4 linked regions of the Canis lupus familiaris genome follow. The protein of the gene in region 1 binds, or shares a complex with, the protein of each later gene. Links are inferred from orthologs where the notes say so. Each region holds a gene or a part of one and is shown in the gene's direction. Other genes may lie near its edges.

Region 1 (7,605 bases):
TCTAACTCGCACCTGCCGTGCAGTACTTCCCTTCAGTGAACACCAGGCGTGTCAGGCACCGTGTTAGGTTCTAGGGCCTCGGAGACAGCCTTCTGCCCATGCAGCCACCAGCTCGGTTAAATGGAAGATAACTGGGAAATGTGGCTGTAGTGAGTGGAGACCACCCAGGATACCTGTGCACCCACCAGGCGTTGAGGGCCTGGGGTGAGAGCTGGATAGGGGTTCTTAAGCGCAGGAGTAGCAGGAAGTTGAGGTTGGAGAAGCCGACCAGGTCTTACCATCTGCAGAGCTAGATCTGCCCCTGAGGCTCTCCAGATCTTACACCTGAATGTATGGGTCGCCTAATCTGAAGCTCTCCCCTTAACATTGTTGACTATCATGAAATTAACATTTTAAAAATAATAATAAAAAGGAGAAGCTCCCTCGGTGCCGGGGCTCTTAACCTAAAATCTGAGTTTAGAAGAAGAGAAATTTATATCTCTGTAGTCCCTAATCTCTCTCTCTCTTTTTTTTTTTTTTTTTTAAGATTTTATTTATTCATGAGAGAGAGAGGCAGAGACCCAGGCAGAGGGAGAAGCAGGCTCCATGCAGGGAGCCCGAAGTGGGACTCAATCCTGAGACTCCAGGATAACACCCTGGGCCAAAGGCAGGTGCCCAACCACTGAGCACCCAGGCGTCCTAGTCACTAATCTCTAATCTCTAAATAAACTTCATTACTTTCTCCAGTTATGAATGTGAAGGCAGAAAAGCAAAAGCAGTACCTATGGTTTTTGTCACCAGTGGAAATTACAGATATTTTCATATCACTGTACGTTTGTTGGGGATATCTCAAAACATCCATTACATTCATCATCATTCAAAGTTGCTGTAGTTGCTACAGTGGGCACTAAATCTTGTTATTTTATGCTTTAGAGCTCACCATTACCATATTTTTAAACATTTTGATAATTCAGTCTAACTGCTTTCTTCTGTGAGCCTGTGTATTGTATTACTCGTTTTTAAATTTTATTTGGAGAAAGACGTATCCTTAGGCTTCACTAATCATCCAGAGAGGACCTTCCCTGATCAGGAAGGACAGACAAAACCATAGTAGAGCCAGTATATCGAATACATAGGGCTGGCCTGGTGTTCCCAGATCGTGAAATAAATGAGTTAAAGTGGTTTTCTGTAACTGTATTTGGGGGTGGAGTTTTAATTCAGAATGTAAAATCTGGTCTTTGTAGGCAGAGCTGGAGGCCTGAAAGAAAGAAGCCATTCTTCTCCCTCGGGGTTCTAATACCTTCTTTTACATTTGTATGGGCGGATTGTTCTCCAAGTGTCAGATACCTGATACTTTAGGTGGTGTGCCCGGGGGCAGCCTCCAGGGGACTAACCAGGCCTTGTAGCTTCTTGACCCTTGGACCCTGGGTTCTTTTGTGTTGGGCGGGCTTGCTGTGGGGTCACACACACTGTTAATGGTCATTCCGTGCTCTCGGTGGATAGGTGGGCAGTGGGATGGCCTGTTCTATGCCGAAGGAAATAGTGGCTGGGCGAGGACCTGGTGTGTGTTTGCTGGGTACACAGAAATTCTTCTGCTTACGGTTGCCAAGTGGAAGCGTAGCCTTATGACCTTGTTCTGGTTTCCTTCCTGCCATATCCTTGTGAATCCTACATTCTAGGGTAAGGCCTTGCTTTGATCAGGGGTCCTTGCTCTCAAGTCCCTCAAGCTGCATGCCCTTGGGCTGCACCTCTTGGTTGCCCCACGCTGCACTGATAGTTGGGACACAGCACCCACACCAGAGGTTAGGGGGCAGGTGCAGGGACCCCACCAGAGCCAGGAAACCATGCAACAGCCACAAGGTCCAGTGTGTTCCCTCCCTTTGTGCGAATGTGACCTGAGCGCCGCAGAGGAGGGGCAGACGAGGGACACGGAGGCAAAAGGAGCCCAAGTGCCAGTCTCTGCAGATGTACAGCAAGGTGGAATACGCTTCGCCTGCCTTGTTGGAAGTTTGAGAGCTGAAATGCAAGTCCATTCTGAAATGCCTTTTTGGGGGGTGGGGGCACCATCTTTTGTTCTGTTGGGAGGGCATCTTTTCCAGAGCAGGACTTCCCCCATCCTTTCCCTTTCTTATCTCCAAACTTGGGGTGTTCCACACTCTCTCTGTGTCCTCTATGAGTAGGCATTGCATGATGGTACCAAGGTGGGCATTGTTGCCCTTCCGGGAGCTTCCAGCCTAGTGCAGGACATGGACATTGAATAATGGCCCAAATGGATCCTTCTTAGCAAGGAGGAGCTTGTAAGGAACCTTCTGGGGAGATGGGAAGGTGCCACTTGCTCTGAATAGGGCAGTGGAGCATTCAGGGCCCAGGGAAGAGCTATTGTGCTGTAAACCAGGCTGCTTGATGCTAGGGAGTCCTTGAAGTACCCTGGCCTGAACCCTCCCTCTGCATGTATTATACTGATTAAGAGGCCACTCCCAGCAGGAGGGGGCTTGGTGGGAGAACTCATCACTGTTTTTCCAGAATATTTCCCCTGTCAGACTGTTCCATCCAAAAATTTGTGGTATTTATTTTTGATGCTGTTTTAATGCTTTTATTCCATCTGTGTGGCATTTAGCTTTATTTTCTATAAAGGCAGATATTTGGAGCCTCTTCTGCCTTGATCAGAACCGTTTGTGTAAAAAAAAAAAAAAAAAGTTTGTGTGTTTCGGTAGCTCTTCCTGCCGAGCAGAGTAGTGGACTAAAACTTGGTGTCGGTGCAGTCAGGCTGAGTCACTTGCCGCAGACATCTGTGGACGGGGATGCTGGTTGCCACCCAGAGGTAGTTGAAGGTTACGTGTGATGGCTTGCGAAGAGGGCCAGGGACCAAGTAAGTGCCAGCATTAGCCCCACTGTGCCTGGTCACCACCACTGTGCCTTCTCTGAAGCCAGAGGTGCTAGGGGCCCAGGAGACCAAAGGTGACACCACACAGGGAGAAGAGCCTGGTGCTGTGGAGTCAGCAGCCTGTTGAGTATGAAGCATCAAAGGAAAGAGGAAGTCCACCATGAGAGGGGAAGCACCTTTCCCCCCTGGCCAGACTTCCCAGAGGCCAGTGAGGGAGCTGATAGTCTGGCTCCAGGCCCTGGGGACTTCTGTCATCTGCTCCCCAGACCGCCAGCTTGACACTGTTTCCTGACACAGTTTCTCTGCCTTGCTCATTATTTGGGACTTGTTCCTCATTATTTTAACTGCAGACGCACTAAGGGAACCCTTTCTGGGCCACACAGGCCCCACAGGGGCAGCAGCGGGGGTCCTGTGTGCATTCCAGGATGCTGGGAGGGAAGTCATGTCACTGAAGCGTGAAGCCTGTGGTTAGAAGGCCTCTGGGGCTAGGTTCTGTTTAGAAGCTCCCCTGTTCCCATCTGTGTCCCATGTCCTGAGAACAGACTCCCACCTTCAGCAGACAGCTGTTGGGGAAGATCTTGAGAACTGTGGACTGGGATGCATTTTCTCACATGACACGGGACAGGGCCAGCTGCCAAGGGCTGGGCTTGAGGCTGCTCACTCATCTCCCTCTGTTCTCTCCTAGTCACCCATGTTCGATGGAAAAGTCCCACACTGGTACCACTTTTCCTGCTTCTGGAAGGTCGGCCACTCCATCCGGCACCCTGACGTGGAGGTGGACGGGTTCTCTGAACTCAGGTGGGATGACCAGCAGAAAGTCAAAAAGACTGCGGAGGCTGGAGGCGTGACAGGTGTGTATGGACCTGGGGGCAGCAGGTGCAGACCCCCAGTCCCACCTGGGCAGCTTCCCTGGGGACCTCTTCTGGGGGGTGGGGAGCCCTTCAGCTTTGTTACCTGTGATTTCGGCAGCACCTCCTTGGCTTGCCTATGGTAGGCTGTTTTTGTTTTTCAACGAGTTTTCCCATTTACCTCCTGCCGCCACACAGGCAGGGCCTCTCCCTCTGTCTCCCTCCACAGCGGTACATGTGTTCAAGTGGACCCTTCATTATCACCCCAGGTCCAAGGTTTAAGGATTCACGTGTGGTAGTGTACATTGTATGGGTTTGGACAATACACAATTGACCTTTGAACAACATGGGTTTGAACTGGTCTGCTTCTGTCTAATCTTCAGTAAATTCAACACTACTATAAATGTGTTTACTTAATAACATTTTCTTTTTTGAGGTTTACCTTATTGGGAGTTCAATATTTAATACTTATAACAAAGGATGTGTTAACTGTTGGTTATCAGTAGGGCTTCCCGTGAACAGTAGGCTGTTAGTAGTTAAGTTTCAGGGGTATTGTGGGGCACCTGGGAGGCTCACTCAGTGAAGCATCTGCCTTCAGGTCATGATCCCAGGTCCTGGGATCAAGTTCCACATCAGGCTCCCTGCTCAGTGGGGAGTCTGCTTCTCCCTCTGCCATTCCTCCTGCTCACACTCCTCCTGCTCACACTCGCTTGCTTTCTATCAAATAAATAAAATCTTTTAAAAAAAAAAAAGGTTTCAGGGGACTCAAGTGACCCATAGGTTTTCAGTGCACGAGGAAGGTCAACATCCCAACTCCCACTTTGTTCAAGTGTCATCTGTATTTGGAGTCATTCGTATGTAGTCTCTTCAGATTGGCTTCTCTACTTAATAATTAACAGGCATTTCAGGTTCCTCTGTGTCTCTTCGGGGCTTGATGGCTCCGTTCCCTTTAACCCTGAATAACATTCCATTGTCTGGATGGACCACGGTCTGTTCGTTAGGAAGGATATCTTGGTTGCTTCCAAGATTCAGTAAATGCAAATAAAAGTGCTGTGAACATCCGTGTGTAAATTTTTGTGCAGACTTAGGTGCACATCCATGTGTAAATTTTGTGCAGACTTTCATTTGGATAGAAAGCAAAGAGCATGACTGCTCATCCTCTGGGGAAGCGTAGGCTTCATTTTGTAAGAAACCCCGCAAACCAGGGGCAGCCCCGGTGGTGCAGCGGTTTGGCGCCGCCTGCAGCCCAGGGCGTGATCCTGGAGACCCTGGATTGAGTCCCATATCGGGCTCTCTGCATGGAGCCTGCTTCTCCCTCTGCCTGTGTCTCTGTCTCTATGAATAAATAAATAAAATCTTAAAAAAAAAAAAAAAGAAAGAAAAGAAACCCGCAAACCAGCTCTCTAAGCAGCTGTACCAGTTTGCATTTCCATCACTCCCTCACTAGCACTTGGTATGTCTGGGTTCAGGATTTTAACCATTCTGATGGGTGTGTACAGGTGTCTTGAGTTGGTTTGCAGTCCCCTAATACCCTACAATGTGGAGCATCTTTTCGTGTGCTTATTGCCATCTGCATCTCTATTTGGGAAAGAGTCTGGATATTTTGCCATTCATCTTTCATGTTCTTTCCTTGAGTTTTAGAGTTGTTCATGTATTTTGGATAGTGGTCTTTTGTCTTTTGCAGATGTCTTTTTCATGTCTGGTTTGTTTCTTCTCCCATTTTCTTGACAGCGTCTGTTACAGAAGTTCTCAGTTGTAAGTTGTAAGATAAGTTCCAGCTTATCCATTATTTTTTTCCTGGCCTGTGTCTTTACTGTTGTATCTAAGAGTCCTCACCACACCTAGGTCAGCTAGATTTTCTCCTGTGTCACATTCTGGGAGTTTTACATTATGGTGTTTTCCTTTAAGATCCTGATTCGTTTTAAGTTTTGTAAAGTAGATAAAGTCTTAGTCTAGATTTATTGTGTATATGCATATGTCCAGTGCCAGTACCACCTGTTGGAAATTCTGTCTTTCCTCCATCGTGTTGCATTTGTTCCTTTGTCAGATGTCAATGACTGTGTTGGTGTGGGTATATTTGTGGGGTCTTTTTATCAGTTTGTCTATTCTGCCAGTACCATACCGTCGTGATGACTAGTTTCATGGTGAATCTTAAAGCCAGATGGTGTTAGTCCTCTGACTTTGTTTTTCTTTTTCAAACCTGTGTTGGCTGTTCTGAGTCTTTTGCCTTCATATGAACTTGAGTCGGGGCGCTGGGAGCTGGGAGGTCAATGACATGGCTCACTGTGAATAAAAACAGCAAATTCGCTAAGAAAGGGTCCAGAGAGTGAGCCTGTCCATTTTAGCAGAGGGCAGGTGTAACAAATTTTTCTTATTCTGTGGTCGTTTTTCCCTTTTGTGTTCAGGTTAGTGGGGGTTGTCTTAGGACTATGTCCCATCTAGTTATAATTTATGTGTATCAAATTATGTAATTTTATAATAGGAAAGGCACAGTAAGTTTGCTATAAACTATTTTGTTTCTGAAAACCTCAGAAATCAAAGTTAAGATAACACCTGTTAATTGTCCAGTGATTTTTGTATTCAAAGAGCCTAATTTAATCACAGAGACACACAAGAAGTTTCCATCTTCCTAGATCCTGTAATTCCAACTATCTTTGGCGTTGTGGGGTGTCTCCCTATTTGAAATTTTCTATTCCAGTATTGATTCACATGTGTGTCACTTTTTCTTCCTGTAGAAATGGGATTCTGCCTAAGTGTTATTTTGTTAAAATGCTTCTTGTGTGTGGTGAAATACACATACCATGAAATCCACTATCTTAGCCAAGTTTAAGTGTGGGCTTCATCACCATGAAGCACATTCACACTGTTCGACCATCACCCCACCCACCTCCACCTCCAGAGTGTTCTCATCTTCCCAACCTGAAACTCAGAGCCCAATTCACAGTAAACGGCCCCCCTCCCCAATTTCGTGTCCCCCTGCTACGATTTCTGTCTGTGAATGGGACTCTGGGTGCCTCTGTGAGTGGAATCATACAGGGTTTGTCCTTCTAGGATGAGCTTATCTCACTCGACATCTGTCCTCAGCTCTGTCCGTGGTATAGTGCTGTGGCCGCTATCAGATTGCATATACCTGCAACATGGATACATCACTTTTTTTAAGATTTTATTTTTTTATTTGAGAGCACGTGCGCACACAACCGGGGGGAGAGGGAGGAGGAGAAGCAGACTTCCCACTGAGCAGGGAGCCTGAAGGGGGCCTGGATCTCAGAAATCCTAGATCATGACATGAGCCAAAGGCAGATGCTTAATTGACTGTGCCACCCAGGTGCCCCACATTTTGTTTATCTGTTCACTCATTGAGGGGTATTTGGATGGTTTCTGCCCTTGGGCAATTACAAATAACATTGTTGTGGACATTATGGTGGCATACCCAGTCCAGACCCCACTTTCTGTTCTCTTAGGTCCATATGTGGGAAGGGGAATGGCTGAATCAGAGAGTAATTCTGTGTTTTATGTTCCGTGTACCTGCCATAGTGTTTTCTGCAAGGGCTGCACGATTTTTCATCCCCTCCAGAAATACACAGTTTTCCAATTCCCCTGCATCCTTGCCAGTGCTTTATGGTCTGAGGGTGGGTGGGTGGGTGTGTTGTCTCTGTTCTTGTTTTTATAATACCCAGCCTAAGGTGTGAAGTGTTCATGTGGTGTGTGTGTGTGTTTTAAGATTTTATTCATTCATGAGAGACAGAGGCAGAGACAGGCAGAGGGAGAAGCAGGCTCCATACAGGGAGGCAGGGAGCCCGATGCGGAACTGGATCACAGGACCCCAGGATCATGGCCTGAGCCAAAGGCACATGCTCTACTGTGGAGCCACCCAGGCGTCCCTTTCATGTGGTT
Region 2 (8,173 bases), about 26 Mb from region 1:
GGGATCGAATCCCACATCGGGCTCCCGGTGCATGGAGCCTGCTTCTCCCTCTGTCTGTGTCTCTGACTCTCTCTCTGTGACTATCATAAATAAATAAAAATTAAAAAAAAAAAAAAAGATTGATCAGGCCAGAGCCAGAAAGCCAACACCTTCTGTTGTCTGCTTGCCATTTGCCATATACCAAGCAAGAAACTGGCATTCCCCCCACACCTTTGCCCCTCTCCTTAATGCTACTGCCTTGATTCTGACTCTCCTCCTCCTTCATTTAAAATACTGCAGACGTGGGACGTCTGGGTGGCTCAGCGGTTGAGCATCTGCCTTTGGTTTAGGGCATGATCTCAGAGTTTCAGGATCGAAGTCGAGCATCGGGCTCCCTGCATGAAGCCTCCTTCTCTCTCTGCCTGTGTCTCTGTCTCTCTCTGTGTGTCTCCCATGAATAAAAAATAAAAAAATACTGCAGATGCTCTCTTAAGTGGTGGGCCTGTGTTCAGGCCTCTCCTCTCACAGTTTATCTGCAAAGCTGCCAGTAGAACTCAGTCTAAACGCTGGATTGATCACAGCACCCCTGCTGCTTCAACGTTTTCCAGTGGTTGCCATACCACATTTGCCACAAAGCTCACCTCTCCAGACCATATCCTTCCCTTGTTCCTGCCTCACCTCCTACTTTCTTGAGAACTCTGCTCTGCTCCGAATCACTCATAGGGCATCCCCACACACTCAGTTCTTTTAAGTCCCTCTTTGTGTGCAGTTCTCTCTGCCCAGGAAACTCTTTTCTACTCCTTTCCTGGGCAAGTTTCACCCATCCTTTTAGGCTCAAATGTTCCTTGAATGTGGCACAGGCCCTGGCCATTCTTCAGGCTGAGTTTGTCACTCATTGCCTGTATTCTCAGAATACTTTGCACAAGCCACCTCTCAAGGAGTAAGGGCACTCCTCAGGGAGCTGTGTTTATATGCAGAGGGACATCCGGGTTAAGATCGTGGATATTCCACTCAGATGGACTTGAATTTGAAACCAAATTCTGCAACTTACTGAGGCCTTGTAAGGGATTCTGAGTCTTAGTTTCTGAATTTTGGAAAAGGGGGGACTTAATGTCAATTCACTGAGCTGCTGCAGTTACAGAATACATGAGACACTGTGCTTGGTGTGCTTTGCACAATTGGCCCATTGTACTAACCGATGGTAATTATCATTGGCTTGTGAATGCGTCAAATGCAAAGACTCAGGCCTACATTTTGTCCCATCTTTTTATCCCAGCGACTGGCACATAGTGGCTGAACTCAGTGACTGCTTCTTCAAAACCATAAATGAAATAGTATCCATGCTATATTTTTCTTGACAGGAATAAGCTACAGGCTTTTTCATTTTAGGGATTGTATCGAGGAGTCAAAAAATTCTACTCTTCTTACGACATATCCTCCAAACTGTATTCATCTTTCCCTTTGCTAAACTAGTCCTGAATTTACACCTGTAACCTAATTTGAGATCAAACTTGGGTTTTTAGTTATTAAGTGTTGTCTGCTAAAGTCTCCCTTCACATTTTTAAAAGTTTCTCCTGCACACATGTCAGCTCCAGTCCTTAACTGCCATCCTTTGTAGCAACACAGATATCACACCCTACTTTCTCAGAGGAGTGACACCAACAGCATGCATGTGTATGGGCTTCAGGGCTTAAGTATTCTAGGAGCTACACATGTTCCTTCCAAATCCTGGGTGACTTGCAACCAAATGAGCTTTCCTGAGATGACAGGGAGGGGTCCAAGGGATCAAGACCACTGCAAATTCCAGCCCAGGGTTCTGGCTGCACAATGGCACTTGGGACCCTGGAAGGGTTTAAGTTCTTTGAAGGCCAGATTATCTCCCGTTTTCTCGGGGAAGAGGAAGTTTCTTGAAAGCAGAGACTCAGTGCTCCAGGCTGACCTGACTTTTCCTCTTCTGTCCATGTAATTAATTTCCACGAGAGGGGCAAAGGTTCCCATCTGAATACTCCGGAGAAAAAAAAAAAAAATGAATACTCCGGAGACTCCTGCAAGGTCTGCAGCCTCAGGAGGCTTCCAAGCCTTTGACCTTTGGAAGGCGCCCTTGAACCCTCAGCGCATCCCACACTGTGCGGCCTCTCCTGGGCGCCCCAGGGTGACCCCGTCTAGGGCCTCGGCCTCTCCCGGGCGCCCCGGGGGGACCCCATGTAGGGTCTCAGGTGCTCCAGGGTGACCCCGCCTAGGGCCTCGGCCTCTCCCGGGCGCCCCGGGGGTACCCCGTGTAGGGTCTCGGGCGCCCCAGGGTGACCCCGTCTAGGGTCTCGGCCTCTCCCGGGCGCCCCGGGGGGACCCCGTGTAGGGTCTCGGGCGCCCCAGGGTGACCCCGTCTAGGGTCTCGGCCTCTCCCGGGCGCCCGGGGGGACCCCATGTAGGGTCTTGGGCGCCCCAGGGTGACCCCGTCTAGGGCCTCGGCCTCTCGGGGGGACCCCGTGTAGGGCCTCGGGCGAGGGCAGGGCACACAAGGTGCAGACACAGCTCCGTCCGCTGCGCGGGGCCCAGGCGGCCCGTCTGCCCCGCCCCCCCCAGGCCGTGCATCCCCCGCCGCCCACGCACGGACCAGGGGCCGCGTCCGCCCTCCCGCGGGGACGCCCCAAGCGCCCGGGGCGGGCGGCCGAGGGGCGGGGGGCGGGGCCGCGGGCGGGTTCCCCTCCCCTCCCCTCCCCTCCCCTCCCCTCCTCCTCCTCCCTCCCCTCCCCCCCGCCCCCGGGGGCGCGCGAGGGCCGGGCGGGGCCGGCGTCCCTTCCGGGGAGCGGCGGCCTCCCTCCCCGCGGCTCTGGGTGACGCTTCTCCAATAACAGCTCGCGGGGCGCCTCGGCTCGGGGCGCCGGTCCCGCCGGTCCCGCCGGTCCCGCCGGTCCCGCCCCGCTGCCGGCATGAGGGCGGCGGGCGACGGCGGCCTGGAGCGCTTCTGCAGCCCGGGCAAGGGCCGGGGGCTGCGGGCCCTGCAGCCCTTCCACGTGGGGGACCTGCTCTTCTCCTGCCCGGCCTACGCCTACGTGCTCACGGTCAACGAGCGGGGCAACCACTGCGAGTACTGCTTCGCCAGGTAGGGCGGGGGCGGCGGGGGCGGCGGGGGCGGCGGGCGGGGGCGGGGGCGGGGGCGGGGGCGGGGCGGGGCGCGCGGGCGGGGGCGGGGCGGGCGGGCGCCGCGGCGGGGGAAGTGCGCGGCGCGCGGGGTCCTAGCGCCGGCCGCTCGGGCGGAGGCCGCCCCCGGGCGGGCGGGAGGCGCGCTGTGCCCCCGCGCGAGCCGCGCCACGTGCGTGGGGACAGAGCCGCCGAGGGCCCGCCGCGCGGCCTGCGCTCTCCCACTTGCTTGCGCCGGATGGGCTCACGCGGGAGCGCAGGGTCCTGGCCTCAGACGTGGGCGCCGAGCCAGGCGCGTCCCGGGCGCGAGCGCGCGCTGCCCGCTTGGAGCATCGGCGGCCCGGCCCAGGCCCAGGTTGGAGCAGCCGCAGCCTGCAGCCCTCCACCTGGGCCTCCTGCGGCGTGTTCCGTCCTGCACCCCCCACCACCCCCACCGCAGCCCGGCCCACCCCAGCTCACCCCAGCCCACCCCAGCTCACCCCAGCTCACCCCAGCCCACCCCCAGCTCAGCCCACCCCCCAGCCCCAGCCCGGCCCGGCCCGGCCACCTCCTGGGAACTTCTTGACAGTTAACATTTCGTGTAAAGTACTCGGCTCCTCCTCTTCCTTCTCACTCTGCGCTGCTGTTTGGAGAGAAGCCGGAGGGGTACGGACCGCGCACCCCGGGGTTCTGAAGGGCTGCGGTGAGGGCGGACGCACCTGACCTCGCTTTGGGATTCTTCTTTTGAAAACGTGGCCTCCGGGGCAATTAGGCAAAATGTGTGGTCGGAAATGGTATTTAATAGTAGCGTGTCGTGTATAAAAATATACATACGTATACTCACATAGGTCTCTGTTCATAGGCACCCACACATAATTATATCCTCAAGCTGTATGATGGTTTCAGACCCCAAAGGCACATTCCCGAGTCCCGACACACTTCTCTCCATTTTACGGGCCCAGATAGGAAGTGTGGTTGTGTATCTGTATCCTCACACCAATGGTTAAGGGAATGGAGTCTGTTCTCTCCAGTTCTGCCCATGTCCTGCTGGTTTGGGTGCCCAGGAAACTTCCAGAGACACGAAGCATGGCGTTGAATTAGGTTTGTACCCAACCTACCGCTGCTCTCTGAAGAGTGGACCGTGCTTTACTTTCTTTGAATCTCAGTTTCTTCATCTTGGAAATGGAGCTTCTTGGGTCAGATTACACTGACCTGAGGTCCCGCAGGGACCCTTTGAGGACAGGTCTCAAGTCCACCATACACCAAAGGACCCAGTTTCCCAGACACGTGTGCCTTATTCTATGATAAGACATAGCGAAAGAAGGGACAAAGGCTAAATATTATAGTAATCTTGCCCAGACTCCCTGCCAGAACTGTCTTCCGCTTGGGGGGACCTGGAAAGGCACTAGACGCAGAATCATGCCGTGGGCAGCTTAAGGGCTGTATGTGATGTGGCTCTTTGAATTGGTGAGTCAAGAGCTAAAGGGTCATGGCACCACTTTGCAACGTTTGAGTGAAGTGAGCATTGGGTTTTCCCAAAGTTAAAAAGGCTGCTGTGACTGGTCCCTTGATCTTCTGAGCCTCGCTGTGGCTCGGAGTCTGAAGCAGTGTGGGTGTCTGGAGTGGCAGGAGCAAAGCGGGGTCACCCAGCACGGAAGGTGCTCCCCTCCATCGGGAATCCTGGTGATTCCTGGAGTCCATCCTGTGAGAGAAGATCACAGCGCCAGGCACATAGTAGGTACTCAGATGGCAGTTCCCAGTGCGCTCCTGCAGTGAATTAGAGATCAAATCCCTCTGGGTTCAGAGGGGAGAAGCGGAGCTGAGAGATGCTTCTCTTTAGCAGTGAGCGTCCTGACTGTATCTACTGTACACGCCCCCAACCTTACAACTTCAGTGTATGGTCAGATTCCGCTCCACAAATCACCCTGCCCTATGGGACAGGGTGTGCTTTGTTTTTCCTTTTTCTCAATAACTTTTGTTATTGTAGCTGACTGTTGTCTTAGACCCGACACCAGGGCTGCCACGTGCGTTGGGGCGGTACCACTGCATCTGTCCCCATCCACGCCACTTTTTTCTGTTTGGCTTGGGTGAACTTCTCTTAAGACCCACGGTTCATTTCTTCTCTCTCCCCAAGGAGTCATTTGAAATCAGCTAAAATAACACACCAGAAATAATGACACCATGATACCTATGAAACTGGAAATATCCTTGTACACCACTCTATGATTTCTGTTAAATTCGATTAGTTTAGGATTCGCGGTTAGGTTGTTCTCATAGATGTAGCACCATTTTCTCTGTCAACTATTTGATTATGTCTAAGAACAAACCAGTCTGTCCAGCTGCATTAGAACACATATATGTCTCCTGGACCTTCAAGGGAGTAGGAGGAGAATTCTCAAATATTAAAGCATAGAGGGTAAAATCTGCTACTTCCCTACCCCCCTGCCCTTCTCCCACAGGGGGAAAAAAAAACCCAAACTATTTCTTATCCTTTCTTGTGCTTGAAGTTTATCATAAAACAATATTGCTTAAGATAAGTGAGCCACTGGAGGGTCTCATTGTCATAGTAATTGTATCTGGGTTTAACTTATTTTGAAGGGAAATAGGTGATTTCTGCAGTAATAAGTTTATTCTATAAATTGAAAAAGCGAAGTTTCTCAGGTCACAGTGGAATGGGAATTCTTATCGTTGACACAATTCAGACAAAAGTTTGTTTCTGGGGATTTTAAATTTGTACACATTTTCTCAGTTTGGATATCTCCCAATATCCTTAGGAGGATATTTATGTTGCCTCAGCTTCTAGAAGGCAACTCCTAAAAATATAAATGTTTTCCAATTGGGAGCTGTCCCTGTCACACCTCTTAGATACATTTTGTGTACACACACACATACACACATGCGCACAAACACACACACTTACTTTTTGGCCATTAGCCACCTTTCTGTGGCAGATACTTCTATGTTATATTTCATACTTAGTACTCAGCATATTTTAACACTTTGTTATTGGCCTCAAAAAAGGAAAAATCTGCTGTAACCCAGCGTTCCATCTGAATATTCATTCTGTGTGCAGTTCCTCAGGTGGGAAGATGTCTCCTCTTGATGTTTTATTTTCTTGGTCGTGGGTCATTTAAAGGCCAGAATATTGCCTTTTTTGTTGGTTCATTCCGAGTATGGGGGAAGAGTACGAAGGCCCGCTTAGCCTCCTTGCAAAAGAGCTGTTAGAACCCAATTTCAGGAAATTTATGTCATGCCTGGCTCAGAGTGGTTTTATTTATTTATTTATTTATTTATTTATTTATTTCAGAGTGGTTTTAAAAATTAAAATGCTTGCATGAGCAAAACAGTATGGTCGAGATGTCCTGTTTCAGCAGTTGTAAAGATGTCTCACAGATTTACTCTGTAGTACTATCCATCCTGTCTAACCCATTGTTTTACCAGACTGTCAAAGTAATATTTAGTTGATTTTAATTAATATTAAGAGCCATGAACTCTTGGCTCCTAAGAGTCATGAATTGTTTTCTCAAGAAGCCTTAAGGTTCTCCGAAAGAACCCTCGGGCTGACCACCTGAAACTGCCCCTCAGAGCAGGGGAGTCATCCCCAAGGGCTGGTGTGATTCTGTTTATTCCCAGAACATTCTCTGAGAATTGTTGAGTCTCTAAGGGGAAGAATGACTTCAGACGTTCTCAAATTATCTTGCTTTCTGAATGAAAAATTAGACACATGCTCTAACAGTGCTCCTTTTCACAAGTATTTTTTCTTAAAAATGGGCAGTAAGATTACAATGTACAGACAACAGATTTTCTCTAAAAAGTGATATTAAATAAAACAAAATTCAGCTGTCAATACATCAGGTAATGAGATTATATTGTCACTTTCAATATTAGAATATTTCAAGTTTTCATTTATTCAGAGAGGGCAAAGCAGAGACTCTGGTGCCAGATTGACTTGGTTTGAGTTCTGGCTTCCTTCCTTCCTGATGTTTTGTCTTTAAGCAAAATTACTTAATGTCTTTGAACAACTGGGTTCCTTTATGTTTACATTGTTCACATGAATACCTGCCTCCAGAGCTTTGAATTACAAGGCATTAGAAGTCAAGCACTTAGTAAGGCCCTAAACATAGAGTAAGCTGTCACAGTCCGCCTGGCAGTCTGGCTTGTACTAAATGTTACAGAGGGTGATAAAATATTGCAGTGTCAGGGACATTTTTATCATGGTGGGGTTGGGGTCAAGAGTTCATGGCTCTTAATATTAATTAAAATCAACTAAATATTACTTTGACAGTCTGGTAAAACAATGGGTTAGACAGGATGAATAGTACTACAGAGTAAATGGTGGCGTTGGGGGGTAGGTACTAGGAAGGAAATACTGGAAATTGTTGATCAGTAGAGTCATCCTTCAGATGGCACATTTACTCAGAGCTAAAAGCAGCAGTTCTCAGCCCCCAGGTCCCCCAGAATATTGACGGATTTCACTGTTTTTTAAAACCTAATGGAAATGATATAATGAACCTACATAAGTAAACTTTTTTTTTTTTTTTTTTAAAGCTTTTCTGGCTCCAAAGTGCTTAGAAGCATTAATAGTCTTTTGCCTGGAGACTAAGCAAATATTTGAGAAAAGAAATGGAGGCAAACAGAATTTTGTGCACAGCAAGCCTGTCACTGCTCCTGTCTGCTCTTTAATTTTTGCACGATTCAGATGTGGCCAAGAACAGTCCTTTAAGACTTTAGATGTGGCAAGAGCCATGACACACGTATTTTTCATATGCAGGGAACATAACTCTTGTTACAGCTTATAGGGGCTCTGGGACCAAGCTGTATGGTTGGAAATGATTTGACATGAAAGAGACAGAACAGCAGCAGGATATGCTGAAGTGAAATTCAAACCCTGGTGAGTTAAAACCACCATCTAATACTTTTCCTTCCCAAAAGCAATTGCACAAAATCCTCTCCATCAGAAATAACTGAAGATCCCATAAAATGACATTCCTTAAAATCATGTTGCTCTTTGCAGCTCATAAAGCATTTCCAGATACATTCTTCTTTTGATCCTCCTGAGGATGGCTCTTGTAGA
Region 3 (6,734 bases), on another chromosome or scaffold:
CCAGATTAAATGAAAAGTCATTAAATGTTACATTTTGACAGAAGTATTGCAAGTTTGTGTGCATATATTTTGGAGAGTTTGTTGTTTTTATCTACCATGTCTATTTTGTTTACCAATAGTTATATATATATATTTATTTTTTTTTAATTTAGGTCGTGACAAAGACCTTTCATGGTGCAGGCTTGGTTGTTCCAGTAGATAAAAATGATGTTGGGTACAGAGAACTCCCTGAAACAGATGGTAATGTATTTCTTATGTGAACATGTGTGGAAGGTCTTCTTTGTATGTATTGAGAAAATAAGTATGCCTTTTGTGGGATAGTCACTAGACTTTAGGGATAAAGAGCAAGCTCAAGTTTTAGGGTCAGTCAGGCCGTACTTTTACTATTGGATTATTCTCATGGAAATAGCTTGTCAAAAAAGAAGTCTAGAGATACTGTTCAATATCTTTATATGCATCCTGAGATCTGATGTACACTGGCATCCAGAAAGTAGTGGGGGAAAAAATACCAAAAGCCAAAACAAAAATATTAAGCCACTGGCTTTTTAAATCTAGATAAATGCTGAAAGTTTTCTATTTGTTCTTACCTCAATTGTACTTTTACTGTGACCACATTTTGGTAAAGATTTAATTTGGCGGGATCCCTGGGTGGTGCAGGGGTTTGGCGCCTGCCTTTGGCCCAGGGCGCGATCCTGGAGACCCGGGATCGAATCCCACATCGGGCTCCCGGTGCATGGAGCCTGCCTCTCCCTCTGCCTGTGTCTGCCTCTCTCTCTCTCTCTGACTATCATAAATAAATAAAAAATTTAAAAAAAAAATTTAAGATTTAATTTGGCAATGATCTCTTATTTCTTATATTGTCTTTTTCTCTGTGTTTTTAGTACAACAGGTAGGACAGGGCAATAAAGAGAAAACTTTATGGCCTGTTTTGGAGGGTTTGTTTGTTTTAATCCAACTCCTAATATGGACTAGCCCAGAGATGGACTACAAATGATCTCTGTTGCCGTATTTTTTGTTCTTTTCCAACCAGTTAAAATGGAAAAACATTCTGTGAGTTCAGTTAAAAACAGGGTGGGTCAGATTTGGCCACAGTTTGTTGATCTATGGACTAGCCTACTAAAAACCTTTAAAAAGCTTATGTATAATCGTGATTGCAACTATATCTATAGTAAAATAGTCACCGTTTGCTAATACACAAATCTTTTTTGTTAAGCCATTTTTCTTAAATTATAAATTGCCATTTTAAATTCTAGTACCACCCAAGGTGGCATTTGTTGCAATAGTTACAAAAATTGATGAGGAAAAACCCAACTTAGAATCTTTTTATCTTTGATGATGGGTGTAGATCATCTTTTTATATCCTTGGTTTCTTACAGCCAACCTCAAGAGAATTTGCAAGACCATCGTTGAGGCACCTAGTGATGAGGACAGACTAAAAGCTTTTGCTCCCATCCAGGAAATGATGACTTTTGTGCAGTTCGCTAATGATGAATGTGACTATGGTATGGGGCTTGAGCTAGGAATGGATCTCTTTTGTTACGGCTCACACGTGAGTAAGAAAAAAACAACAAACAAACAACTTCCCAGCCATCACCAGACCTTCTCTTCCCTACTTCACCCCACATACAGGCATACCAGAATATGAATATTTATGCCCTCAATAGCAGGGGTAGGATATAAATTCAGCTTGTGTGTTCAATGAATTTTTTTTCCCCAAATGAACTTTTTGATAAGCAGATGTCTGAAAATATTTGAAATTAACTTTGTATTCTGCCAAAGGTAAATAACCAAGATTATTTGCCTGCCTTCAGGTTTACATTAAAGTGAATTTCTTATTAGATGTATTATAGGAATATATATGCCCCTTTAGTTGGATGTGTGTATGGGTATGCACATAAAACTTTCATAGGGCTCCATTTGGCTTTCCGCTGTGGTGGTGGGGGGTATTTGTTCTATTGTTTGAATTCCTAGATGAAAAATAAATACTACCTAGTAGTCCCCACCTCCTTCAGCCCCCTACCCCGCCTTATCCATGGTTTCACTTCCTGTGGTTTCAGTTAACTGTGGTCAACTGTGGACCAGAATTAGATGATCCTCCTTCTGAGATACTGTCAGAAGAGCAGTATAGTGACCTAACGTTGTATCACAATGCCTATGTCATTCACCTCCATCATACTATGTAGGCATTTTATCATGTCACACTGTTATATGAAGGGTTAGTACAATATTTTGAAAGCCACTACATTCATGTAGAACACTTATAACAATATACTGTAATAGAAGCTATCTTATGTTCTCACTAATCTCTTATTTTGCTTAATTTATAAATTAAACTTTATCATACATATGTATAGGAAAACAGCATAAATAGGGTACTGTCCATGGTTTTAGGAATCCACTCGGGGTTTTGAAGCCTATCCCTTGTGAATAGGTGGGAGCTACTATATCTTAAAATAGGCTTTAATTGAAATTATTTAAAATATAGTTTTTCAGGATGTCTGGGTGGAGTTGAGCGTCTGCCTTCGATTCAGGGCATGATCCTGGAGTCCTGGGATCAAGTCCCACATTGGGCTCCTTGCATGGAGCCTGCTTCTCCCTCTGCCTGTGCCTCTGCCTCTCTCTCTCTCTCTCTCTCATGAATAAATAAAATTTTTTAAAAAATAAAATAAAATATAGTTTTTGTTTTTAATCATCATGACCTTTGCTTATTAAATAGGAAAAACCTACCTAACAGTTAAATCAGTGCTTATTCACTGTGGTTGCCTCAAGGTGTAGAGTCTATAACATGTTCCTAAGGCTACATTGTTTGGTTTTAAATAACATCTTTCCCACTTAGTAGCTGTGTAAGATTGGGCCGTTTTTCCAACACCATTGTACCTGGGTCCTTTAGCTGAGATGTCTGCGTGTGTGTGTGGACATGCGTACGCACGCACACACACAGTTTCTCATTTAACCTATGGGTCACCTACGAGGCACAAGAGGTAAACCATCTTGCTCAGGTTCACAGGCAGACAGTTCCAGAGTTAGTGTCTAAATCAGTAATTCCCAAACTGTAAACTATATAAAGATCTGAAGATAATGTTAAAATGCAGACTGCTTCAGTGCATCTGGGGTGAGGCTTGAGACTGCATTTGTTGTACTCCTGGGTACTGGTAATGCTACTGCCTGTAGACTAGTGTGAGCAGCAAGACTAAAGCAGGTGCTAACTTCAGCATGTATCACAATCATGTGGATGGCTATTCAAACAGATTGGTGTACTTACCCCTACTGCCCCCCCACCAAGGTTTGAGTTCTTGGGGGACTCTTAGGAATTTGGATTTCTGACCTGTTACCAGGTCAGGCTAATTAGAGCAGGCTATTTTGAGAACTCTGCTGTAGACCATATTACAATATTTTTCTGCCTGCCTTATATATGGCTATTAGAAAAAATAGTCAAAATGTTTAACAGCTAGAATAAGTCATTGACCAATCAGAATAATGCTGGGCCTGCCAAAAACTGAATCAGTTTAATTGAAAATAATTGGCCTGAGTACTAAACAACATATGAAAAGACTTAGCACAGTACTGAGCATCTAGTAAGTGCTAAATGTCATCAACAGAAGCGTTCCCAGGTTCTCTTTAAGTATATATAAAAATAGCAGTAGTCTAAGTCACTTGATAAAACCAAGGCAGTGACAAGGGATGGAGCTGGGTTACATGGTGGGTTGGGGAGCAGAAAATTTGAAGATAAAAGGGAATAAATGTGACTTGATAACTCAAATTCCGCATACCTCTTCATATAGTATCAACTAAGGAAAATGATGATTAAAATCTTAACTGGGGATAACACTAGAGAAGAAAAAAAGCATTTGAGCATATAGTTTACCTTAAGATGCCCTTAAGGTAAAAATGATGATCCTTATCCAAGAGAATTAAGGAAGCTTAAAATTTTAACTTATAACTTAGTTTTCTTCAGAATTTTCTTCAAGATGTACCATTAAGTCTTTTAAAACTACAAGTTTGGCCTCTTGAACAGAATGTGTCAATTCACTTCCTAACCAATTGAGAAAGTAGCTAAAATGATTTGGACAGTGCTTTGTTAACAGCTTTTTCTGTGTATTTTTTGCTACTTACTAGGGCATCTGCTATGTTCTCTGCTTAATGTTACATTCTTTTATTTTTCAGTATTTTCATAAAGTTGCTGGCCAGCTTTTACCTCTTGCATATAATCTTTTGAAGAGGAATCTCTTTGCAGAAATTATTGAAGAACATTTGGCAAACAGAAGTAAAGAGAACATAGACCAACTCGCAGCCTGAGAGTCGGCTTCCTTTCAGTGTACAGTACTTTAAAGCATTAGTATTAAACTTGTGATTTTTTTTGTTTTGTTTTTAAGGAATACAGAAAATAAATTGATGGAAACCTATACCAAAAACTTTTATAAAGCTCTTCTAGCCCATCTCTTTCATGTGCAGATAAATGGCAGTCAGTCCTCTGAATGGAGATGTTCTAATCCCATCTGAAAGACAACCAAAGTCTCCTCCGACATGTCACAGGAAGTCATGGTCTCCTGCCCGTGGATAACTAGACTGTTCTCTCATCAGGGAATCCTGTTTCAGTATTTAACATATGGGCAACTAAATATTTATTTCTCAGACTTGAGTTAATAATAGCTATAGCTTGGGACACCTGGGTGGCTCAGAGTTTGAACGTCTGCCTCCATTTGGCATTGAGTCCCACATCAGGCTCCCCACCGCAAGGAGCCTGCTTCTCCCTCTGCCTGTGTGTGTCATGAATAAATAAAAACCTTTAAAAAAAAAAAAAGCTATAGCTTTAGAGACTGGATTTATAGGCAGTGGGGAAGGCATACGGGAAGTAAATGGGAGGTGCCTGACCCCAGAGGTGCCAAAGCTGCATTTTAACAGCATCTCCAGGTGATACGTATGTAGTTCAGGTATCCATTAGGTATATTCTTTAAAACAGTTCCTTGACTCACTACATTTACTAATCAATATAGATGAGACTATTGATAGTATAGTGTACTCTACTATACCATTAGTTTAGATATTAAAGTTTTCTGCAAATTATATCATTGGATTTCTAGCACAAGTCCATGATTACAACTGTGTTTTACCAGATTCACATCCTCCTCAAGCCTGACAAAACGTCCTTCATCTTAAAAATAGCAAAAACAAAACAAAAAAAAACCCAAATGTAAAATAGCCAACTCTGTGGATTGGGCTGAAGAGCATATAAAGTTATTTTCCTTTGTATGAAGTTCAAGACAAAAAAAAAAAAGCCCTAGGTCATCTCGTAAACCCCACATTTTGCAGAAGATTGACCTGAGTTACCCAAAGAACTTCTGTTGAATTGTCAGTCTCCAGAGTCACTTATCCTGTCAGCTGTCTCCTTAAAATAGTATGAGATTTTTTTTTTTTTTTTTTTAGTTTTATTTATTCATGAGAGACCCAGAGAGAGAAAGGCAGAGACACAGGCAGAGGGAGGAGCAGGCTCCATTCAGGGAGCCCCATGTGGGACTCAATCCCGGGACTCCAGGATCACTCCCTGGGCTGAAGGCAGGTGCTAAATCGCTGAGCCACCCAGGGGTCCTGAGATACTCTTTTTGATATAAAGTATGAGTAGACTATCGGCAAACACTTCCAGCCAGGATCTTTAATTTGAGCAGCTTGTCTCATCTCCCTAGTTAAGCTGCAAGCTTTTTAAGATGATGAATTTTTTCAGTATACATATCCCCCTCAGTAACACCTTTTACTATTTGTCGAACAAAATGACCCTATTACATGCTGCTCACTAACTGCCATAGAAAATCACACCAGCGATTTGGGAAACTTTTGAGATGTCCTTAAGGTAAGAATTCTCAAACAATAGAATGTCTTCTGGGGTCTAATATCCCCCAGGCTATACCTAGAATGTGTTCGTCCCACGGCCCATGCTGGCCTTTCTCTTGAAGAAAGCCTAAAGATGGCTTTCTTCAGTCCACACACAGTCTGCTGAATATCTTCTATCTACTTCTATCTACCCAGGATGTGGCCATCCGATGGCTAGAGTAGCTTCCAAACACCACTTCTATACTTATGAGAACACATTCTAAGGGCCTAGACTCACAAGTGAAGTGTACCTTAACCCGGTAAGAATTGAACAATACCACTACCCTCCTCAAATTTAGCTAAGCTCATTCCTGGAGCTTAATAACGGAGTTTCTGTAGGACTTCTCAGACACGTATGTAGAAAGATACACCCTAAAGATGGCTTTCTTCAAGAGAGACACTATGTAACAGCTTAGCCAAACTAAACCAAACCATCCTTTTGCCTTCCCTTTCATTACTGAACTGGAACTTGCATAGTGATAGGGAGGTCTCAGGAGATTTTCAGGAATTGCCCCATTTCAGGCTGTAAGCATCAGCAGGTTCTGGCCGCATCTGAACTAAGCTGTAAGCTTACAGTGACAGTGATACTGGCTGCATCACACAATTCTTTGATTAGAAATGGTGACCAAATCACATTTGATCTTAAATTTTTGAAGCTGAGCTTTTTTCCTCAGATTTCCTTAGTTTCTAAGGTACTTAACATTGGGGTCAGTATTTAGAAATAGTTAACATCTTTTAAATACTGATGATTTGAATAAATCCACCTATCTTATATTAAACCAATCTGCTTAGCTAGAAATACTAGCCATTTAATACTGCCATTTCTTGATCCAACAGTTTCAAATATAATTCGTAACTTTTTAAAAATC
Region 4 (7,605 bases), on another chromosome or scaffold:
CTGCTGCAGCTGGTGAGTGGGTGTCCACCTTCCAGGATCCCAGGGGACTGCTAGCGCCTCGCTCCTCCTTTGGGCAGGGCGCCAGGATGGTCATTGTCATGACAGTGGAGTTTGGAGATACGGTCCCAGTCCTTGCAATACAGAGTCCCATCCATTGTCTCTGGCTGCCTCAGGACTGCTTGAACTCTTTTCTTCCTACTTTTTTTTTTTTTTTTTTTAAGATTTTTATTTATTTATCCACGAAAGACACAGAGAGAGAGGCAGAGACACTGGCAGAGGGATAAGCAGACTCCCCACGGGGAGCCCAATGTGGGGCTTGATCCTGGAACCTCCAGGTCATGCCCTGAGCCAAAGGCAGATGCTCAATCACTGAGTCACCCAGGCGTCCCTCTTTTCTTCCTTCTTAATCCTGGTTCTCCTCTGGGCCTCTGTCCTCTAGCCAGAGTAGATGCCGCCTGCCTTCTGCAAGGAGTCTCTTCCTCTTACTGTCCTTCTGACTAGGGCTGGGAGGAACGGCAGGAGGAAGACAACTTGCTGATTGAACGGATCCTGCTGCTGGTCAGAAATATTCTCCATGTTCCAACCGACCTTGATCAGGAGAAGGTGAGAGGTTCTTGGGTTGTCCGCTTTCTTATGCTTGGTTAGGTTGTGCTCCACCTCCCTCTCGCCCCCCCCCCCCTTTTTTTTTTTTGCTTTTCTGCCCTCCAACAAGGAAGAGAGGGAAACTTGGTCAAGGAATGAATTGGAGAAGGTCAGGGGAGGGCAGTGGAACTGAATGACCTCTCTTCCTCCCCTCATCACTCACTGCTCAGAGGATCGACGATGATGCCAGTGTCCATGACCAGCTTCTCTGGGCAGTTCACCTCAGTGGCCTGGATGACCTGCTTCTCTTTCTGGCCAGCTCGCCTGCGGAGCAGCAGTGGAGTCTGCATGTGCTAGAGATCATCTCGCTTATGTTTCGTGACCAGGTGAGAACCTGGCTTCTTTCCCTAGGCTCTTCACCTATGAACGTCTCTGCCGTGTAGCCACAATCACTCTTAAAATAATGGCTGAATTATTTGGGGCAGGTGGGTGGCAGACAGAGTAGCCATGTCCTGAGTACGGGGCACCTCCAGCAGTCCTAGTTCCTTCATCTTTTTTGTTCCTCCTAGGACTGAACCTAGAACAAGGAATGACTGTCCTTCTGACTCTCTCCTCCTTGTTCCAAATCTAGAACCCTGAACAGCTGGCAGGAGTAGGAAAGGGACGCCTAGCGCAGGAGCGGAGCACAGATGTGGCGGAACTGGAGATGTTGCGCCAGCGAGAGATGGCGGAAAAGAAGACTCGAGCCCTTCAGCGAGGCAACAGGTACGTGACCGGGAGGTGCCCTGGCCATGTTCCCATCCCTCCAGTATGGAACCTTCCCACTGAGGACTTGGGCCAAAGGCTAGGACAGTGGTGACTGGGTAACGTTCTGTAGTCATAACACGCTGATGTGCTAATGAAAGAGAACGGAGATAAAGTTTCCAGAGATTTGAGGAATCACTCTGGGCTTTTTTTTTTTTTCTTTTTCTTTTTTTCTTTTTCTTTTTCTTTTTCTTTTCTTTTTCTTTTTCTTTTTCTTTCTTTTTCTTTTTCTTTTTCCTTTTTTTTTTACTACAGGCATTCTCGATTTGGGGGCTCCTACATTGTCCAGGGGTTGAAATCCATTGGGGAGAGGGACCTCATCTTTCACAAAGGTCTCCACAATGTGAGTATGCTTCCCACGTGGGGTGGGAGCATTGTGGAGTTGACGGTACCGGAGGAGGGTAAGCAGATGGGGCGCCTGGGTGCCTTAGTCTGTGGAGCGTGCAACTCTTGATCTCGGGGTTGCGAGTTCCAGGCCCATATTGGGTATAGAGATTACTTAAGAATAAAATCAGAAAAAAGAAAAAAAAAGAAAGGTAAGCAAGCATCTCTGGAAGTAGAGCATCTTTGTTCTGGGGCTTAGAACGTTGGAGACAATAGGAGAAATAGAGCCTCTGACATTATTGTCTTTACTTGTATCTTCACTTAGTACCAGAGGAAGTGAGCCTTCTAAGAGTTTCTTCTGAGGAAATTCTAGCACTAAGGATGTGGAAAGAGCTGCAAGGGGAGGGTGGTGGTGAGGAGTAATTCTGATCCCCTGACCCACACCCTCAGCTCCAAAACTACAGTTCAGATTTGGGGAAGCAGCCTCGCAGGGTGCCTAAACGTCGCCAAGCTGCCCGGGAGCTGTCCATTCAGCGCCGCTCTGCCCTTAATGTGAGACTGTTCCTCAGAGACTTTTGCTCTGAGTTCCTGGAGAATTGTTATAACCGGCTCATGGGCTCGGTGAAGGTGAGAGCCTGGGAAGGATGGAAGAGAGAGGTGATGGGGCCAGTGGTGGGGAAGAAGGGCAACTGGGGAGGGCTCTGGGGGGGGTTAACCCTGGAGTGTGGACTAGTAGTTGGGCAGGGTATAGGGCACCCTTGAGACATGAGGATGTTGGGAGGGGGTAGGTCACTGGGACAATTTAAAAAAGGCTTGGAGAGGGGAATCCCTGGGTGGCTCAGTGGTTTGGCACCTGCCTTTGGCCCGGAGCATGATCCCGGGATCGAACCCTTGTCAGGTTCCCTGCATGGAATGGAGCCTGCTTCTCCCTCTGCCTGTGTCTCTGCCTCTCTCTCACTCTCTCTCACTCTCTCTCTGTCTCTGTCTCTCTCTCTCTCTGTCTCATTGATAAATAAATAAAATCTTAAAAAAAAAAAAAAAAGGGGGGGGGCTTGGAGAAATTCCCCAGAGGAAGGGGAGAGACCTGGGGAGAACAAGAGAGGGCTGGAAATTCTGAATCCTAGAATATTGCTGTAATGGTGTCCAGGGTCTATCCTATCATCTATCCTATCATCATAGGACAAGGAGAAAGTTGGAAACCCTGGGGTCATGGGGTGGTCTTTTTTTTCTGGACATTAGGATTACCTGCTGCGGGAGAAGGCTCAGCAACATGATGAGACCTACTACATGTGGGCCTTGGCTTTCTTCATGGCCTTCAACCGAGCTGCCTCCTTTCGGCCAGGCCTGGTTTCTGAGACCCTCAGTGTCCGTACCTTCCACTTCATTGAGCAGAACCTCACCAATTACTATGAGATGATGCTGACTGATCGCAAGGAAGCTGCCTCCTGGGCACGTCGGTGAGTGGGACGAAAATTGGGGTCAGAGTGTGCATTTGGGCAGTCATGAGTGACTGGATTCTGGGTGGTACTTTCTTTCTTGTTTCAGGATTAAGGTGGTCAGACTGGGGAGCAAGGACCAGCTGGGTCGTTGTGTTGATGGCACTGTCTTTTTGGAAGGGGGGAGAGGGGTACTGCTTCCCTGAGCCAGTTTTCTAAATTGTCCTCCACTTTTCCTCTTTGCCTCATCTTACAGGATGCACCTGGCCCTGAAGGCCTATCAGGAGCTGCTGGCCACAGTGAATGAGATGGACATGTCCCCAGATGAGGCTGTGAGGGATAGCAGCCGCATCATCAAGAGTGAGGCCCTGGCCTGTCTCTAATCCTGGCCTTTCTCATCTCTTGACCACAATATCACTCTTTCCAGTCTCCCCTCCCCTTCCCAAAGTTTCCAGACCAGTCCTTCCATTCCTTTCTCTTCCTAGACAATATCTTCTATGTGATGGAGTACCGAGAACTGTTCCTGGCTCTCTTTCGAAAGTTTGATGAGAGATGCCAGCCGCGCTCTTTCCTTCGTGACTTGATAGAAACCACCCACCTCTTCCTCAAGATGTTGGAGCGGTTCTGTCGGAGCCGTGGGAACCTGGTGGTACAGGTACTGGGCAGCCCTGGAATGTGGGAAGAGCCGTGAGGGAAGGGTGGAGACCAAGGAACTCACCTCAACGTTTCTGCAGCTTAAGCTGACCTGTTAAAACTACTCTGAACAAAGGAAGGCAAGAGGTTTATTGGTGTTGCTGATGTGTGTCTACTGTAGTTTCCTTCTTTCATTAAATTAATCTCCAGTCTAACATAAATATCTTCATTCACTCAGGAAACATTTACAAAACATGTAGTATGTACAAAGCATATAAACTCTGGGGATTTGTTTTTTTGTTTTTTAGTATCTTCATTTTTTTTTGAGATTTTATTTATTTGGGGATCCCTGGGTGGCTCAGCAGTTTAGCACCTGCCTTCAGCCCAGGGTGTGATCCTGGAGACCCGGGATAGAGTCCCACGTCAGGCTCGCTGCATGGAGCCTACTTCTCCCTCTGCCTATGTCTCTGCGTCTCTCTCTCTCTCTCTCTCTCACTCTCTTTCTCTCTCTGTCTCATGAATAAATAAATAAAATCTTTTTTTTTTTTTTTGAAGATTTTATTTATTCATGAGAGACACAGAGAGAGAGGCAGAGACACAGGCAGAGGGAAAAGCAGGCTCCATGCAGGGAGCCCGACGTGGGACTCAATCCCAGATATCCAGGATCACACCCTGGGCTGGAGGCGGCGCTAAACCACTGAGCCACCCGGGCTGCCCAACTCTGGGGATTTGTAATTTTAGACCTTAGTAATTATGCCATCATCCTTCTTGGTTATACTTCAGTAGCATTATAGTGAACTGGCAAACACCCTAAATAAAAAGCCAGAAAGTCTGGAATCTCATCCTATATTAGTAACTGTTAGAATAACTCAAGCTGCTCATATCAGTCCCCAGATCCCTAAAGATGAGATTGTAATATGAGCCTGAAATGGCATAAAAAATAAAAAGTTGTAGACAAGGGCACCTGGCTGGCTCAGTCAGTGGAGCATGTGACTCTTGATCTCGGGATTGTGAGTTTGAGCTACACATTGGGTGTAGAGAGTACTTAAAAATAAAATCCTTTAAAAAAATAAATAAAAGTCTAAGATAAGAAAACACTGATTCAAAGAAAAACCTGCACCTCTTTGTTTATTGTAGCATTATTTGTAATAGCCACACTATGGAAGCAGCCAAAGTATCTATTGATAGATGAATGGTGTGTGTGTGTGTGTGTGTGATGGAATATTATTCAGCCATAAAAACGAATGAAATCTTGTCATTTACAACATGGTTGAAGCTAGAGATAGTAATGCCAAGCGAAATAAGTCAGCAGAGAAAGACAAATACCATATTATTTCACTCATGTGTAATTTAAGAAACAAAACAAATGAACAAAGGAAAAAGACAGACCAACAATCAGACTCTTTTTTTTTTTTTTTTTTAAAGATTTTATTTATTTATTCATGATAGTCACAGAGAGAGAGAGAGAGAGGCAGAGACACAGGCAGAGGGAGAAGCAGGCTCCATGCACCGGGAGCCCGATGTGGGATTCGATTCCGGGTCTCCAGGATCGCGCCCTGGGCCAAAGGCAGGCGCCAAACCGCTGCGCCACCCAGGGATCCCCAACAATCAGACTCTTAACTACTAAAGAACAAACTGATTGATACCAGAGGAGGGTGGTGGGAGGATGGGGATTAAAGAGTACGCTTCACAGTGATGAAAAAATAAAATGTTATTAAAAAAATAATAAATAAAAATAAAATAAAATGTTAAAGTCTAAGACAAGAAGAAAATCTCGATGAATTTGTATCCTACAGACAGAGACACTCTGCTTTGTAAAAATCTTCCTGTATTCTATATGCTGTGGCTTAAAATTTAGTGAGAACAGCAGTTAAAAGAGACAGTAGTACCAGTGAGACCTTACTAAAAGATATTTTTAATTCAAGACTATTGTTTTATCAGAAATAAGAGGTGCTGTTGTTTATTGAGTGTTGACTGTGTCAGATGCTGTGCTAATAAGGCTTTCGTGTAATCCTCACAGTAGGACTAGGACACATCACAGAGTGGAGAAGCAGCCTGTTTGAGGTCTTGCTAGTGGAAGAGTCAGTACTTAAATCCAGATCTGTTGGACTCCCAAGCTCATGCTCCTAACCTTTGATGTGTTAAATTCTGAGTTTCTTGAATAGAGCATGAACCTCAAGGGCCTCCTAGTCCATCCTATTTGTCTGTACCCATAACTGGTTCAGTCATGATTTAGGGAACAAGGGTGGGGTGTTGACTCTCATTTTCCTGCTTTTCAGGAGAAAAACAATACAGATTATGTTTACGTAGTGCTATGCATTTTACAAAGCCTTTTGTATCTTCATAACAAACCTGTTCATTCTATAATCTGCTTAAGATATCACTGCTTTTGGGAAATCTCTGACCCCCAGAAATAAGTCAAGTACTTTTCCTTTGTTCTGCTGTGGCTTTTTTTTTTTTTTTTTTTAAGATTTTATTTATTCACAAGAGACACACAGAAAGAGAGAGACATAGGCAGAGGGAGAGGGAGAAGCAGGCTCCATGCAGGGAGCCCGATGTGGGACTCGATACGGAGACTCTAGGATCATGCCCTGAACTGAAGGCAGCAGACACTCAACTCCTGAGCCACCCAGGTGTCCCTTGCCGTGGCATTTTATGCCCAGCCGTATTCTAAGTTTATCCATACTGTAATATACTTTACTTATCTACTCACCTGTCTCCTCCACTGGACTGTGTGTTCCTCAAGGGCAAGGAAATATACCACTCACTCTCACTGTTGCTTTCTTACTGCTTATGAATAGCACACAGTGTTCACTCTGTGACTATTGAATTAATTAATTCAGACCTTTAATGAATTAATTAATAGAGAAGACATTGATGGGAAAATGTCCTCTTAGCTTTCCTGCCATCATGACAATAGTTCTTTCTCTGTAGAACAAACAAAAGAAGAGAAAGAAGAAAAAGAAGGCCGTAGGTCAGCCTGTTGCTTCTGATCATGTCCCCTATAGTGCAGGTGAACTAGAGGCTGTGTGGCCGTCCCTGGCTGAGCAGCTACGATGCTGTGCCCAGGTAGGTAGTAGGAAAAACCTTACCTTTCCCATGGGTAGTGCACTAATAGGACATCTGGGTTTCCCTCCCCTGTTCCATAGCCCTAATCCTGTTCTAGGATCCCGACCTCAGCTTGGACTCTGTGGTTCCCTTTGATGCGGCCTCAGAAGTGCCAGTAGAAGAGCAGCGGGCGGAAGCCATGGTGCGGATCCAGGACTGTCTCCTGGCTGGCCAGGCTTCACAGGCCCTAACCCTCCTTAGGTCTGCCCGGTAAGCACCCTGCCCATCCATCCTCCTGGATCCAGCTCCTGGACTTTTGGGAGGAGCAGAGGGAGGCTTTCACTGTGGTACAAGGTTCTTTGTCTTTGAAAGAGAGAAGTCCCATCAGCAGCACAGGGGCTCTATACGGAGCACAGAGTCCTGGGGAGTTTTGATTGGCTTATTGGGGCTTTTGCTTATTTTTTTAAATTTTATTTTATTTTATTATTTATTTCTTTTTAAAAGATTTTTATTTAAAAAAATAAAATAAAATAAAATAAAAATAAAAGATTTTTATTTAGTTTTTCATGAGAGACACACAGAGAGAGGCAGAAACACAGGCAGAGGGAGAAGTAGGCTCCTCTCAGGGAGCCTGATACGAGACTCAATCCCCAGATCCCAAGATCACGCCCTGAGCCGAAGGCAGATGCTCAGCCGCTGAGCCACCCAGGTGTCCCTGTTTCTATTTTTTTTTTAAAGATTTTATTTATTTATTCATGAGAGACACAGAGAAAGAGAG

What was found.
Region 2: the proteins of PARP1 (region 1) and SMYD2 are in contact, whole or in part, in a crystal structure (PDB 9CKC), measured with the Homo sapiens proteins. The link is inferred for Canis lupus familiaris from reciprocal best matches to the Homo sapiens genes PARP1 and SMYD2. Residues at the interface, in NP_001609.2 of Homo sapiens: Thr526, Leu527, Lys528, Gly529, Gly530, Ala531; in NP_064582.2 of Homo sapiens: Thr105, Leu108, Val179, Asn180, Cys181, Asn182, Gly183, Phe184, Thr185, Glu187, Leu191, Ser196, Ala203, Met205, Tyr240, Ile241, Asp242, Ser257, Tyr258, Asn380.
Region 3: the proteins of PARP1 (region 1) and HPF1 are in contact, whole or in part, in a crystal structure (PDB 6M3I), measured with the Homo sapiens proteins. The link is inferred for Canis lupus familiaris from reciprocal best matches to the Homo sapiens genes PARP1 and HPF1. Residues at the interface, in NP_001609.2 of Homo sapiens: Thr825, His826, Asn827, Ala828, Arg865, Met890, Lys903, Asn906, Tyr907, His909, Ser911, Gln912, Gly913, His934, Lys953, Ser983, Leu984, Leu985, Tyr986, Glu988, Thr1011, Ser1012, Leu1013, Trp1014; in NP_060337.2 of Homo sapiens: Asn234, Val236, Asp261, Arg264, Leu265, Phe268, Gln272, Glu273, Thr276, Phe277, Gln279, Phe280, Asn282, Asp283, Glu284, Cys285, Tyr287, Tyr304, Lys307, Val308, Gln311, Leu315, Leu319.
Region 4: the proteins of PARP1 (region 1) and TIMELESS are in contact, whole or in part, in a crystal structure (PDB 4XHU), measured with the Homo sapiens proteins. The link is inferred for Canis lupus familiaris from reciprocal best matches to the Homo sapiens genes PARP1 and TIMELESS. Residues at the interface, in NP_001609.2 of Homo sapiens: Gln846, Lys849, Pro850, Phe851, Leu854, Arg878, Ile879, Ala880, Pro882, Asn928, Lys940, Lys943, Gly944, His946, Tyr992, Asp993, Ile994, Ala995, Gln996; in NP_003911.2 of Homo sapiens: Asp1036, Gln1040, Pro1043, Val1045, Pro1046, Leu1047, Thr1048, Glu1049, Glu1052, Glu1053, Glu1056, Ser1074, Gly1075, Gln1076, Glu1077, Thr1078, Phe1079, Arg1081.

Annotation. Positions count from the first base shown.
Region 1 is NC_049228.1:38,454,401-38,462,005, forward strand, and holds part of PARP1 (poly [ADP-ribose] polymerase 1), read left to right. Parts: intron 1-3,548; coding exon 3,549-3,714; intron 3,715-7,605. UniProt on the Homo sapiens protein: Poly-ADP-ribosyltransferase that mediates poly-ADP-ribosylation of proteins and plays a key role in DNA repair.
Region 2 is NC_049228.1:12,140,999-12,149,171, forward strand, and holds the start of SMYD2 (N-lysine methyltransferase SMYD2), read left to right. Parts: upstream 1-2,793; 5' UTR 2,794-2,909; coding exon 2,910-3,082; intron 3,083-8,173. UniProt on the Homo sapiens protein: Protein-lysine N-methyltransferase that methylates both histones and non-histone proteins, including p53/TP53 and RB1. Specifically trimethylates histone H3 'Lys-4' (H3K4me3) in vivo. The activity requires interaction with HSP90alpha.
Region 3 is NC_049246.1:20,716,056-20,722,789, reverse strand, and holds the end of HPF1 (histone PARylation factor 1), read left to right. Parts: intron 1-152; coding exon 153-240; intron 241-1,376; coding exon 1,377-1,549; intron 1,550-4,164; coding exon 4,165-4,296; 3' UTR 4,297-4,418; downstream 4,419-6,734. UniProt on the Homo sapiens protein: Cofactor for serine ADP-ribosylation that confers serine specificity on PARP1 and PARP2 and plays a key role in DNA damage response.
Region 4 is NC_049231.1:1,031,426-1,039,030, reverse strand, and holds part of TIMELESS (protein timeless homolog), read left to right. Parts: coding exon 1-12; intron 13-501; coding exon 502-603; intron 604-812; coding exon 813-968; intron 969-1,213; coding exon 1,214-1,347; intron 1,348-1,641; coding exon 1,642-1,729; intron 1,730-2,160; coding exon 2,161-2,337; intron 2,338-2,949; coding exon 2,950-3,167; intron 3,168-3,402; coding exon 3,403-3,506; intron 3,507-3,631; coding exon 3,632-3,801; intron 3,802-6,713; coding exon 6,714-6,848; intron 6,849-6,945; coding exon 6,946-7,097; intron 7,098-7,605. UniProt on the Homo sapiens protein: Plays an important role in the control of DNA replication, maintenance of replication fork stability, maintenance of genome stability throughout normal DNA replication, DNA repair and in the regulation of the circadian clock.